Linked DNA regions of Schizosaccharomyces pombe. The protein of the gene in region 2 interacts with the protein of the main gene of each other region in a pairwise test. Each region holds a gene or a part of one and is shown on either strand. Other genes may lie near its edges.

What was found.
Region 1: the proteins of plc1 (region 2) and rad25 interact in a two-hybrid assay, tested with the Schizosaccharomyces pombe proteins (one study listed by BioGRID).

The regions. Positions count from the first base shown.
Region 1 is NC_003424.3:3,582,567-3,586,841, reverse strand, and holds rad25 (14-3-3 protein Rad25), read left to right. Parts: upstream 1-2,000; 5' UTR 2,001-2,062; coding exon 2,063-2,129; intron 2,130-2,846; coding exon 2,847-3,592; 3' UTR 3,593-3,714; downstream 3,715-4,275. Other genes in the region: vacuolar CorA family magnesium ion transmembrane transporter Mnr2, read right to left, coding at 1-407; rrp1 (ATP-dependent DNA helicase), read right to left, coding at 3,926-4,275. UniProt on the Schizosaccharomyces pombe protein: Acts in cell cycle and stress checkpoint signaling by sequestering signal transducers regulated by the checkpoints. Required for the DNA damage checkpoint that ensures that DNA damage is repaired before mitosis is attempted.
Region 2 is NC_003424.3:4,804,049-4,813,728, reverse strand, and holds plc1 (phosphoinositide phospholipase C Plc1), read right to left. Parts: upstream 6,159-9,680; 5' UTR 5,944-6,158; coding exon 3,244-5,943; 3' UTR 2,960-3,243; coding exon of another isoform or gene 2,462-2,959; 3' UTR 2,174-2,461; downstream 1-2,173. Other genes in the region: formin Fus1, read left to right, coding at 1-504; CCR4-Not complex subunit Caf16, read right to left, coding at 664-1,262, 1,308-1,427, 1,507-1,630; histone H2B-K119 ubiquitin ligase complex (HULC) subunit Shf1, read left to right, coding at 2,462-2,959; putative U2 snRNP-associated protein Sap145, read left to right, coding at 7,342-9,099; rRNA processing protein Rrp16, read right to left, coding at 9,236-9,680.

The sequences.
Region 1 (4,275 bases), 1.2 Mb from region 2:
CTTGTATTCTTCCCATTTTCCGTCTCAAATTCTTTCCTTTGAATGTCCTCTGGATGGCTTTCCGGCAGTGATATATTTTCGATGTCTTCATCGCTTTCATAGTGACGGTGTGGACTTTTCGGGGAAGAACAAACAGAACTAGGCATTGAAGGAGGGTTATTAATATCCTTGTCATCTTCCCCATTACTTGAATGCTCAGACGGTGGTTCTAATAGATCACTATCACTGTTTCCCAATAATCTTGTTCCCTCATCCGCTTCGTCTGGTTGCAAACTAGGGTCCACTGGAAATCGATGTTTAGATTTACTCGAGTGTTTACGATCAGAAAATCTAGGCCTGTTCTGCATCCTAGCATTTTGTTTGTAATAAAAGCCCGTAGGCACTGACCGGGATGTATTGGATGGCATAATTCAAACAGGATTATGGATGCTAAGAATTGACAGGTTGTATAGCAATGAATGTATTATTCTTGGTTTATCAAAATAGTTATAATGCCAAAGAGATCGAATAGCGTTTGGTTTAACAAACTAACGGTTTGTGGATTATTTATATAATTACTCTATTGGTGAGAAAGAGAGGATTTCTGCCCACATTTGATTGAGAGGTTTGAATTTATTAAAAATATTTAAAGAATAATTTCACAAAACTCAAACAACAGAGGAAATGCCAATTTTTAGAGATGTGTTGTTGAGGTGTGGCAGCTAAGACGCTTATCATTGATATGGAAGGCAATTTTTTAAAGACCCCCAAATCATATACCAGACAAAATACAGTATCTTTAAGCATAGTTTTGTTTAATTTCATCAATATTTTTGAAGTGTATTTGTAAGAATCCAATGCAGCATAATTAAATTCATTTCCGGCCTACACATATTGAACCAGGTTCAAATTGGTGCAAATTAATTATTTTCTTGTAAGGATGAATAGAATTGGTTAGTAAATTCTGCTGAAGTTGCACATAAGAGGACGGTTTTGTTTACTAGACAAAATAAGTACCGCGACTTATAAAAAATCTTATCCCAACCAGATTGTCCCTTGTAACAATTTAAAATCCTACTTTTCGTATTACCGCGCAATCAAGTTGCCCACAACGGGACTGCAGCATTGCAGTAGAAACCCCATCAAACGTGTAAGTGAAATGAGCGAACAATAACCCTGAAATTATAAAGTCGTATTATCTTGTTTAAATCAACTCATACCTTTTTCATATAAGAATATCGTATTGTTTCAGGATAACAGAAACAATTTCAGGGAAACTTGAAAGGTTTATGATAAACGCAGTATGCAATTTTAGAACAACGAGAATTAAAAAACTTTACATTTAAGCCAAGAAGTATTAAGTTTAAAATACACAAGTTGAAGGAGCAATTAATCAGCACAATGTAATTTGATCTTTTTTGTTCGTAAAATTACCGTTTGCGGTAATCACCAATCTGTGATGACAACGCCGAAAAGCAGCTTACATAATAACACACACTTTTCAGCTCACTGTACTCCTTTGTAGTCAATGTAATATAATGGAATTTCGCCGCCTCCTACGGATATTCAAGCATATCGCATATGCCATCGAAAACTAAAGAAAAACGCCTTCTTCTTGAAGCTTCCTGCATAGAGTGATAAAAAACCTTCTAAAACTTCTTTGCCCCTAAAGTAAGCCTCTTGTTTCTGTCAAGCTTCCTCAATTATTGCACTCATTGTTTTAACTGTAATCTTTCACGCTTATGTTTGATACTTGGTATCTTGTTTTCGAAAGAAAAACTTATTGTAACATACTTTAAGACAGCAATTCCTCATTCAGTGAGTAAAAACGCGTTTTCTACCGAATTCCTATTGACACTGGGCATTTGTTTGGCATTTGTTTTTGGAAGCCTAATCATACGTGTAAGAAGTATTTTTACGATATTGTAAAAGAATAAGAGAGGTGTAGTGATGTTTCTGTTAGATATCCATAAATCTCAGTATAGTCCGTCATATATTCGGCTGACCAACCAACCTTCCCAACTTTCCTTTCTCACTTCTACCAACCTCAACTAACCACCGCTTTTAATAATTCCTTGCAAATATGAGTAATTCTCGTGAAAACTCGGTGTATCTCGCCAAGTTGGCCGAACAGGCTGAACGCTACGAAGGTATGTGATAAGGATCCGCTGTTGGAAGTAGATATAGCGTAATAGTACGAAATTGTCAATGAAGGGACCTTGATGAAAAGTTATTATATTGCAGTTTGCTACTGTATGTGGGAGTTCTTTGGTTTTTTAATATTGTTGGTCTTGAACAGGTTGCGTTGTTGAATGTTGCAAGGTTGTTTGTTTGATGCGGCTGAGAAAAAGAGGGGTTATGGGTTAGTACGTGGATGACTTGTGTATTTTAAAATGTCCCCAAAATCGCTTGATGAGGTTTAAAATGAGTTCTTACAACATTGTTTTGTTGTTGGACATGTTTATGATATCTGAGGTTATGGACAAGAACGGCTTGCAATTCTCTTGATTTTATGGTTTTCGTAATCATTATTTTTTGTCGCCTTTGTTCTATTTCCTACCTTGCTTCCTTTTTTCTCTTAAAACCACGATTGAACTGCCTTGATTGTCTTATCATTCTTATCTCCTCTTATGATTTGAGGTTTCTTTGTAACCACCAAGACAAAGAAATTCACTAACATCAGGAGTAACACGAAACACCGTTCTGTAGGTAAACCTCAACGCAATTAAGGATATTATTACCTTCATATCTTCACCATGCAATGATAACTCGTTTTGAATTACTGTTTGTTGACCCGTCTATACTTGGCTTTGCTTCTTTCATCTCTCCTTTTTGTTTTTGCTTCTTTGCTAACTGATAATGTATAGAAATGGTCGAAAATATGAAGAAAGTTGCATGCTCAAACGATAAACTTTCTGTTGAAGAACGTAACTTGCTTTCTGTTGCCTATAAAAACATCATTGGTGCTCGCAGAGCATCATGGCGTATTATTTCCTCTATAGAGCAAAAGGAGGAAAGTAGGGGCAACACTCGACAAGCCGCATTGATTAAAGAGTACCGTAAGAAGATTGAAGATGAGTTATCCGATATTTGTCATGACGTCCTTTCCGTCCTTGAAAAGCATTTGATTCCTGCCGCTACAACCGGTGAATCCAAGGTATTTTACTATAAAATGAAGGGTGATTACTATCGTTATTTGGCCGAATTTACTGTTGGCGAAGTTTGCAAAGAGGCCGCCGACAGCTCTTTAGAAGCTTACAAGGCAGCTTCTGACATTGCTGTTGCTGAGTTGCCTCCCACGGACCCTATGCGCTTGGGTTTGGCTCTCAACTTTTCCGTCTTCTATTATGAAATCCTTGACTCTCCAGAAAGTGCATGCCATTTGGCTAAACAAGTATTTGATGAGGCCATTTCAGAGCTCGATAGTCTTTCTGAAGAATCTTACAAAGACTCTACTTTAATCATGCAGCTTCTTCGCGATAACTTGACTTTATGGACTTCTGACGCCGAATACAACCAGTCTGCTAAGGAGGAGGCTCCTGCTGCCGCTGCTGCTTCTGAAAACGAACATCCCGAGCCCAAAGAGTCTACGACTGACACTGTTAAAGCTTGAAACTAAAGCGTTAGCATTTTATCAGTAAACGGATCCTAATGGTCTGATTACTTTTGCATATATGAACTGATACCTATGATTTATCTAATATTCGTAGCCATATAACAAAGTTATCTTCATTATATTCTTCTTGCACTTTATTTCTATCATTTATAAATTTATAACTTTGATTACGTTTCATGAGTAGTTAGTTTGGCTTTGTGGCCTTAAAACCATCAAAGCATACTATTATTATACATTGTACATGCGTTACACTACACCACCCCTTTTTTTAACGTTTAGTTTAGTATGCAGTAGAGTATAGTTCATTTGAGTAACGTTAACATTAAATAATCATGAATTAAGCCCAAATAGATATAGCAACTCTTCTTTGTCAAGTCTCGACAGAGGATTGTTTTCGTTTGAATCCAAAGCTTCTTTAACCAATTGACGCTTCTTACGTTGAACACTGACGATACGCTCTTCAATCGTATCTTTAGTAATAAACCTATACACGGTGACAGGCTTCTGCTGTCCAAGCCGATGAACACGATCTATTGCTTGATCCTCTATGCTCGGATTATAAAATGGTTCCTGTAGAATAACGTGATTTGCAATCGTCAAATTCAAACCCACGCTGCCGGCTTTCAATGAAACCAGCATGACTAAAACATCTTTATCGTTATTAAAAGAATGTAGGGACT
Region 2 (9,680 bases):
ATGGTGGATGAACTTAATTCTGATATTACTGAACTAAAAACAACCCTTAAAACAACTCTCTTAATGTATGGTGAAAATCCAGATGAACCTACATCGAGTGCTAGGTTTTTCAATAATTTAAACGAAATAATACTGGAGTACAAAAAGGCTAGCACTGTAAATCAGAAGATGGAGAAGGAAGAAGAACTTGCTTTTCTAAGACTACAAGCTTTAAAAGCATCTGTTAAAAGCAATAATGCAGAAAATAGTGGTTCTTCAAAGAATGAGGAAGTTTCAGCAACAATGGAAAATTTAATATCTCAGCTACAGAAAGGTTTGTGTGATGATTCTTTAAGCAACAAAACCGATTGCACTGAATCATCGAAACAAACAATCGAAACTCTAATGAATTATGAAAATGATAAACAAACTCTAGAAGGCTCAAATAAAAAGAGACAAACAGTCGTCCTTAAAGCTGAATGCATGCTTAAGCAGCTGGAGAATAACAATGAACTTAAGAGATAATGATGTTTGAAATGTTAATGACTTTTAATGACAATTAAATGACTTAAACAAATTATAATGAAATTATAATTAATAAAAGGTATAATTATTAATTCTAGTAAGACTGTAATGCTTGTTAAAGATAGAATTAAGCATCTAAAGGATAACTTTTCTAGTAATCTATTTTGCTCGGGAAATCTTAAAGTAATCAGTAAATACATCAGTTCCAACTTTTAATGATTCTTGAACGTCGTCCCAGGTACTACGCTTTTCCTCTTCTCGAGTTCCCCTATTTTTTTTGTCTTCTTTGAGCCATTCCAAACATGTCTCTAGAAGGGCGCTATTTCCCGTAGAGGACCTTGTCATCAGAGCACCAAACTTGGATATTGGTCCATAATCCACGATACGCCCAAGACTGAGATGGACCAAGTGAGTTGGCCACTCAGCTAAACCATCAAATATATGTGTTGCATAAACAATAGTAGCATTCCTTACTTCCGTTTCCTCTTGCAAAAAATTTAACAAATCTGCCCGGGCAAGAACATCCAAATCTACAGTTACTTCATCAAGTAAAAGTACTTCAAATGGACGCAGAAGTCCCATACATAGTTGAACACGTCGTCTTTCACCATCGGACACTGCATGCATTCGCCAACGAAGATCTATATCAAGAATTGAAATCAAGAAATCCCTACGTTCGGCAAATTTATCTCCTCCAACAGAAGCAATTAATCGTGCAACACTCATATCCCTATGTATAACAGGGTTGTTAACCCATTCTACAAACGCACACATCAGTAAAATTTGATGTTAAAAGAACTTACCAGTTCCTAAATAAACAAATGCAGAACTAGACTCACGAAAAGGATCTTTACCACCCACCGATATATGTCCTGCTTTCGCAAGCGATTTTCCAGATAAAAGTTTAAGTAAAGTTGATTTTCCTGTTTAACAAAATTCCAAGAGGACATCAGTTAGCATTTAAATATTCTTCATCAATTTCCATAACACCGCGAAACTTACCAGCTCCATTGGCTCCAACAAGTAAAGTCCTTGATCCTTTAGGAAGATCTAAAGTTACGTGATCAAGACTTAAAGGCTGCTTTGGAGAAAACGTGTAAGAGAGGTTTGAAACAGTTACTTCCATTTTGAAATAGAATGTTTTAACAGTAGTAAAATATAATTATCTAAGAACTTAGTTTTACAATATATAAAGGATCCAAAAAAAGGCGCAAATTAAATAACACTCAAACTTTGTGGGTTAGCTGGATTGTGTTTAGTACATCTGTGTATCAAGTAAAGTGTGGAGGGAATGCAGTAAAGTTGTTATAAGCAAGACCTCGTACTAATAAATTAGCTTTCCAAGTCTTTGTAAAGAACCTTTTTTAACTATTAAGTAATGCTGCCCATATTTGGAGATGCTATTAAGACCTTGAACACACATCCTGCGGAGTCTTGGAAAGAAAAATGATTAACATCGATGGAACAATTGGCAAACAATATATATAGGAGATAGAAGCAGATAACATTTGTAATCAACTACAATTTATGCTACATATTATTTGGCTTAAAACTAAGTAATAATACTTTCCTAAGGTCACCCCATTTCGTTTAAGACAACAGACAAACCTAACATTCGCATGGAATTTTTTAACAGCAGGCGGACATTTCTCAAATAAAAAAATATAAATATAATATTATTTCATTCCTGCTAAACGATTTTAGCTTTTCAACGTAGTATTGCCCATATCATTAGACTTAATATATTAAACAACAAACAAACATCGATATGGGCGAAGGGCTTTATATAACGCGGTACGTAAAATAGTCTTACCTCAAACCGTTTTCTCACACCGTGATTTTAATTGAATTAAGTATTACTATTTTTCGGTTCTTTAACCAATTGTTTTAATTAGATAGTGTACATTTTTCGTGAAAAAAAAGAACCATTAATATCAGCACTTAATTATTCACTTTAATGAGCAGCAGAAGAAATGACTACCACTATGATGGAAACGACCACCAGTATCGTAGTCCTTTGAAATCAAACGTTGATCAAAACAGTTTTTATGAATCTAGTTATAGGAGCCGACAATCCTACCATCAAAGAACAAAAACACCCAGATCTAGTTATGATTCACCCTCTTCATCTACAAATTCCAAGGAACACAATTCTCCCTATCATTATAGAGTCCCTAGCAATAATTCAACAAGAGCGTCTTTTGGGGCAGCTTCTACGGATACGAATGTAGAATTGCCGAAGATTAATCTTCCAGACTCGAGTTTGTCAAGTAAACTTCAAAGCTGCAAGTCTGCGTGCGAGAATTCATCCCAGAGTTTATTGAATGTCGAACAACAATACGCTCAACAAGTACATTTTTGGGAAAAAATTAGAACGGATATATACCGAGAAGGTCTACGTAGTGATGCAGCTGTAAAAAGCTTAAACGATTTTGTAAATAATGTCAGCTTCTAAATAAATTATTGCAATCATCGTCTGCGTACAAATCATTGAGCTTCCGCTTTGTGGATATTATTATGACTTTTTATTGAAAGTTTTATCCCAAACCCATATTTATAAACATGAATGTTTTTGTATAGCGTTTTTTTTTTTAAAAAAAAAAAATAAAAATAAAAAAACGCTTCATACACTCTAAACATTCTCAGACTACTTCGGTTCTCTCCCTTTTAACGTATAATATGCATTTTAGATTTTCTGAAGTTTCATTACGGTGAAAGTGCTGTAATGGACACAGCGTTCTAAATGTCTTCTTTTTTAATTTTCAAAAACAAACTCGAAAATAACAAATTTTCGCCTTGCATATCCAATAAACGAATATGTCTATAGCCTTGTTGCAGTCTGTCAATCGGACAAGTAAAATTAGCAAATATAGAGTCATTTCCATTACTTCCTCGATGATGGACGAGAAATCGGATCATGGAATAAAAGTCATCACTAATTATACTCTCATAAACCATGGTTTCTCCCCAAAAAGGTCGAAATCCATTTTCGTGCACAACTTTGGAACACCAACGAAAAGGAGATTCTTCCATTGAATGAACTTGGATCTCAACATAAGGGCTGAGAGTTTCAGAATTAGAAAGTTCTCTAGCTCTTCTAAGTTGTTGCCCAGATATGACATCTATTGTTAATTTTATTTTACGAGGAAGTCCTTCTTCGCCAACTGTTGTACCAATTATTCGTTGACAAGGTGGCTTTAACAAGTACCCAGTCGGAGGATCAGCTATAAACAAAGCATCATTTATTTGAAGACCTGTATCATAAGTTTGCCAGTTTAGAGCAACCATTTGCACACCCAGGCGCCAATACACCTGAGGATTAAAATTTGTACTTCCTACTCTCAATGGGCCAGGGTATACACGACACAAATAGCGTAAATTATGTTTGCTAAGTCTTGGAACCATAGCTTTTCCATGCTTTTTTATAGTCCTTTCCGAAAATGAGAATATGTGGCTATACGTTTTTGATTCCGGTAAAGAAAAATTTCGAAATTTCAATGATCGGGCATAAGGTGCAAGCTGTTGCAATTCCTGCACAATGATATTTTTCATCCGTCTTTTACCTTTCCTTAACCCTGTTAATTCTGAATTTTCTAGCTCCGATGATTCGGTAGTATCAGTCGAAGAATCAGTTATCCCAACCTTCAGTATGTCTGTCGAAAATTGGTGCAATGGTGTTGCTGAACATTTGACTTTCAGCAAAATTTTGTTCAGTAAATCTTCGGGTGAAGGAAGAACTGATTCGTTAGCGGTAACGGGTTTCATCACCAAAGTATCCCCAAATGCTTGTTTCATGTAACTAACCATTTGACGTTGTTGGTCAGGGCAGCAATGAATTTCCAAAGAAATGAATAATGGATAAGGTGAAACGACGAAAGCATATTTTCGTATAGCATCAATAACATCATTAAATTTTATCATAGAAGTAAATGTATGTCCATGACAAACTACAGGACCATTCGGTCCATCCCAGCAATCGATTTCAATACACTTGCAGCCACGCTGTAGCGAACGGATATAACCTTCAATTGAACTTTCTCCACCAAACTGCTTACCTAGTAAATAAGTGTTATGCGACGAAGAAATTAAGTATTCATTCAGTGGTCGCGACATATCTTGTATCACAGGAACTACTGGAGAATTATGAGGAGAAAGTAGAAAGGAAGTAAATTCTATCAAACCCATTTTTGAATCATCATTTGAGCAAAAAGAGACATACAAAGTCCTAATTGAGTCACTATCCAAACGAGCCTTTTGAGAAGTTGATAGAAAGTGACGAAACTGTTCCAAAGACATCTTGTCAGAGCCAGATGTATATTCTTTAAAAATATCTACAATCTCGGATCTTGTTTTTAAAAGGCTTACAAAATGCTGAAATTCTTCAAAACTTAGCTTTCCAGAATGATCAGCATCTGCCTTTTGAAATGTTTCTTCTAAAAACTCCATTGATGCATTCAAATGTAGCATTTGGCACATGCGATGCACGTCTCCTAGATCCAACTGTGCACTTTGCTCCTTTTCTAACTTTTCCCAGGGATTTAAATTCTCTGAATAATCTATCATTTTTTCACCTTGATGGCAAACGAGATTAAGTCCAATAATAAATTCATTCAATCGATAAGTTTTTAGACCTTCTAAAGCCATAATCCATTGATTATGCGCATCTAAAGTTGGAGATATCATATGCATAGCCTTTAATTTATTATCAGCACAATATATAATTGTGAACCAGCGTTTCTCGTTCTCAGAAGAAATTTTGTACTGTTCTCTATAATTACGAGCATCGCGGCCCTGTCGAATTTCTTTAATGTCATCAACACAAAGCTTCTTATAAGCTTTACCAGTATTCTTGTCCAGCATAAGATATCCAGATATAGGGTCTAAAGAGACTTTACGTTGGCGCACCTTTTTCTTGGTTATACGAAGTAAAGAGCATCCGTTTTGAATAGATTCAGGGACTATAGTAGCTAATAGCTGTCGAGAATTAAAGTTTTGATTCACCGAGCTCAGAGTAGATAAGTTTTCGTTACTATCGCATGAGTAAGGGTTCATTGAAGTATTTGTTCTCGCAGAATTCATTCGACCTTGCAAGCGTAGCAAAAGATTTAACTTCAGAGAAAGCCAATTCAATCCTCCATGGAATTTATTTTCTGAAGCTGATGTCGATTTCGTACTCAGAAAAGAAGATAAAGAATTTGATCGTTTACGTAGAGTACTATGAGCATCGCGATCCCTTGATGATAGCATCTTAAAGAAATCCTGCTCCGATTTCTTCCTATTGCCAACATATGGGAGATCCAAAGCAGCATTATCTAAGGTTTTACTCCTCGTCTGAGCAACTGCGTTTTCTGAGCAATCGGGCAGGCAAAATGGACTTACTGCTCTGTTGGAGTCTCCTAAGTTGACCGATTCAGGCGACGTTACCATTTCACAATTCATTATGATATCTATTTAAGGATTTACACCGCCATTGGCTTTTTGATCATTATGTTGATATTTAAAAGTTCTTCGGTTTTTCGGTTTTCATTCAGCAACAATACGCCGTGTATGTGTCAATAAAGATAAGTGGATAGCACTCAAAATTGCATATGAGCATAGATTCAATCCACCACTTTAAATCAAGTAAGCCTGATATTATTATAGGGACAAAAATTAGTTGTTTTCGGAACTTTTACCTCTTATATCGTAGGAGCTTACATCCGAGACTTTTGTTAACGTTAGTGGCAAGCGCGCTTTGGTTTAATACGCAATTATGAATAAGAACGTGTTCAATCACAGAAAATCGATTATCGGAAACGCTGTGACTATCACTAAGATGAATTGCAAACAATCGAGTTCGAGAAAACCGTTGGGCTTTATTCAATTGATCTGCGTTTTTGTTCACTCATTAAAAGCCATTTCTCTGAGTATTACTATGAATGGTTTTTTTCTGTTTTATTTTACACTAAAGTGATGATAGAAAAATTAATTTATCAATTAGTAACTAAATATTCGATTGCTCATAAGGAACTCACTGTTCATGTTAACGAATGAAGTTTAATATCGTCGGAAATTAATAGCCTCTCAAACATTTATTTCTTATACTGGTTTATTTTGTTCCCGATTAAAAGTAATGTAGATAATTTTCTCGGAACGTTTCTAAGTTATAATGTGTTCAGTCAACATAGTCTAATGGCCTAGTTTAAACTCTCATCCAAATAATTCTGATAGAGCAAGAACTTGGTGCAATTAAACTAGTGCATATCGACAGTCATTTTTATTTTATCAAACCCTAATACTTACCATTTCAGTAACTTAGAAGGTAACCTCAAAGCATCAACACCTTGAGAATCGTTTGAAGCAGTACTTAGTTTATTGAAAAAATTTGGCAAGGTTAACTCCTAAAGGCGACTTCACAACCATTTATAGAGAAGAACGAAAAATTCCAGATTGCAAATAAGGTGTTCATAGTATTTGCAGGCTTGAAACAACATAAAATCGATTTGGTCTTTAATGGAAACAATCAGAACCTTATTTACAACATAGGAATGAAGAATTACAGTAGCTTAATAATATGTTAATGTTTTAAGAAGTTGTTGTGTATTGCTGGAATTCATGGAAATAGTGTTACTATCGCATTTTATTATTGCAATATATTGTTACACGTTAACTCAACTATTTTCTATTAATTACAGTAAGAATAAGGACCCGTTCATCATGACTATTGCTAGTATTTTTTTTTACAAAAAATCTTCAGTAAGGAGGATACTCGTTTTTTGGGTGGTAGTGTTTTGTTAATACGCTCCATGCATGTACTTGTTGACACGTCCAAAGCATTGTTGCTTAGATTTTTTGTTAATGGCTGAAATACAGACAGCTCAAAATCCTTTAAAGGAACTGGAGAAAATTTTAGAGAGGAATAATAAGCAAAAAAATAAAAAGAGCAGAAACCAAGTTCGTCGAGAGAAAAAAAAATTACTACGTGAAAAGACAAATTCTGGTGCTAAATTGGCAGAAAAAAATAGTGATGACAAGGACCAGTTGACTGAAAATAATGACAACCTATACAATGATAAAAAATCTAATGGAAACTTCTATGATACAAACAAAACTGATAGTGTTGACGGGATGGTCTATACTACAATCGTCGATTCTGTAGAATTAGATCCTAATGATCCGCTAATAGAGCAATTTAAAGATGTCTTTAATCGTTTCAAAGCTGATGGTCAAGAAAAAGATTTCGAAGATACCGACAAGGGCCAAATAATGTATTCTGACGATGAAATTTTGAGTGAAGGCGAAGAAGACGCTTTACAAAAACAACAGGAGGAAAAACTTAGTAAAAAGAAATTGAGAAAGTTAAAAAGGATGACTGTTGCTCAACTGAAGATGCTCTCCGAGAAAGCAGATGTCGTCGAATGGTGGGATGTTTCGTCGCTTGATCCTTTATTCCTCACACATCTAAAAGCATATCCTAATACTGTTCCTGTTCCCCGTCATTGGAACCAAAAAAGAGATTACTTGAGTGGCCAAAGAGGTATAGAACGTCAACTCTTCGAGTTACCCTCGTATATTCGTGCTACTGGCATAGTTCAAATGCGTAATGCTGTGCATGAAAATGAAGCTGATATGCCTTTGCGTCAAAAAATGCGTGAGCGTGTCCAACCAAAAATGGGAAAGCTTGACATTGATTATCAAAAGCTTCATGATGCCTTCTTTCGCTACCAAACAAAACCGGTGCTAACCGGTTTTGGCGAATGCTATTTTGAAGGAAAAGAATTAGAAGCTGATGTGAAAGAAAAGAGGCCCGGCGACATTTCGGAGGAGCTCCGTGAAGCCTTGGGAATTGCTCCAGGAGCACCTCCTCCTTGGTTATTTGCTATGCAGAGATACGGGCCTCCTCCAAGTTATCCAGATCTTAAAATTCCCGGTGTGAATTGTCCAATTCCGACTGGAGCGCAGTGGGGATTTCATCCTGGTGGTTGGGGAAAACCTCCTGTGGACCAATTTAATCGTCCTCTTTATGGCGACGTGTTTGGTAATGTCAAACCTCGAATACATGCTGGTACAGGTTCGCCTGTGAGCACTCAGCATTGGGGTGAATTGGAGGAGTTTGAGGAAGAAGAATCTAGTGAAGAGGAAGAGAGCGAAGACGTAGAATATCCTACTGAAGAAATTACTGAACGTGAAACGATTGAGGAATATCAGTCAGCGTCAGAGCCTAGGTCACAGAGGGAAGATTTGCATGCAGAGCCCTTAACGTATTTTAATCAATCTAATGTAGAGGTTGACAATGTTGAATTACGAAAAAATACTCAACCAAGTAGTGATGCTGCTAATCGAGACTTATATCAAGTTTTACCTGAAAAATCTACTAATATCTCAGGTTTCATGGGTCCTCAGCATCAATACGACATTCCTACCGCTGAAGATACTCTTCCACAAAAAAGGAATGCACATTCCATGCTCTCATCAACCAACAAAGGAGATGTTGCGTTAAATCAAAGTTCTAATTGGCAAGATGAGCTTTCGGAGTTGGTGTCTGAGCAGGCTATGAAGGTTGGTGCTGCGAAACGACAGAAAACACAAAGCAAGAGAGACAAGTTTCGTCTTTAAATTATTATCTACAGTGTACATTAGTTAATCTATATGACAGTATTATTGTTAAGCTCCATACATTATTCAAGTATTAATTATTATTTGTAAGTGAAAATAAAAAAAACCCCAATTTATACCCTAGCTAAAATATATTTTATATACTGTTTTTTTGAAGATGGAAGTCTTTGTGACTATATTTTTCCTTGATCTTTGCACGATACTTTGATTTCTTCAATACTGGCAAAGATGGAGGAACCATTGCTCTTTGTTGTAAACTTAAATAGCGATCGGCAAACAAATTTCCTTCAGGCTTCAGCTCTCTAAGGGAACTAGTCAGCTCATCTCCCAACTTTATTTCAAGTGGGTTGTTAGGCAATCGATGTTTACCGAATTTTTTCTTCTTCAGTTTGATTTCAGTTGTGCTAGAAGAAACAGCCTTATTAGAGAATTTCTCAGCTTTATCCTTTTGCTGCAGTTTTTTGGATATTGCAGGAGCTTTGTCGATCGTCCTCAGAAGCTCTTCATTTTTCTTTTGCTCAAGTAATCTAAGCTCCTCCTCTCTTCTTTGGCGTATCTTATTTCTTTGAGACCTGGTTTTT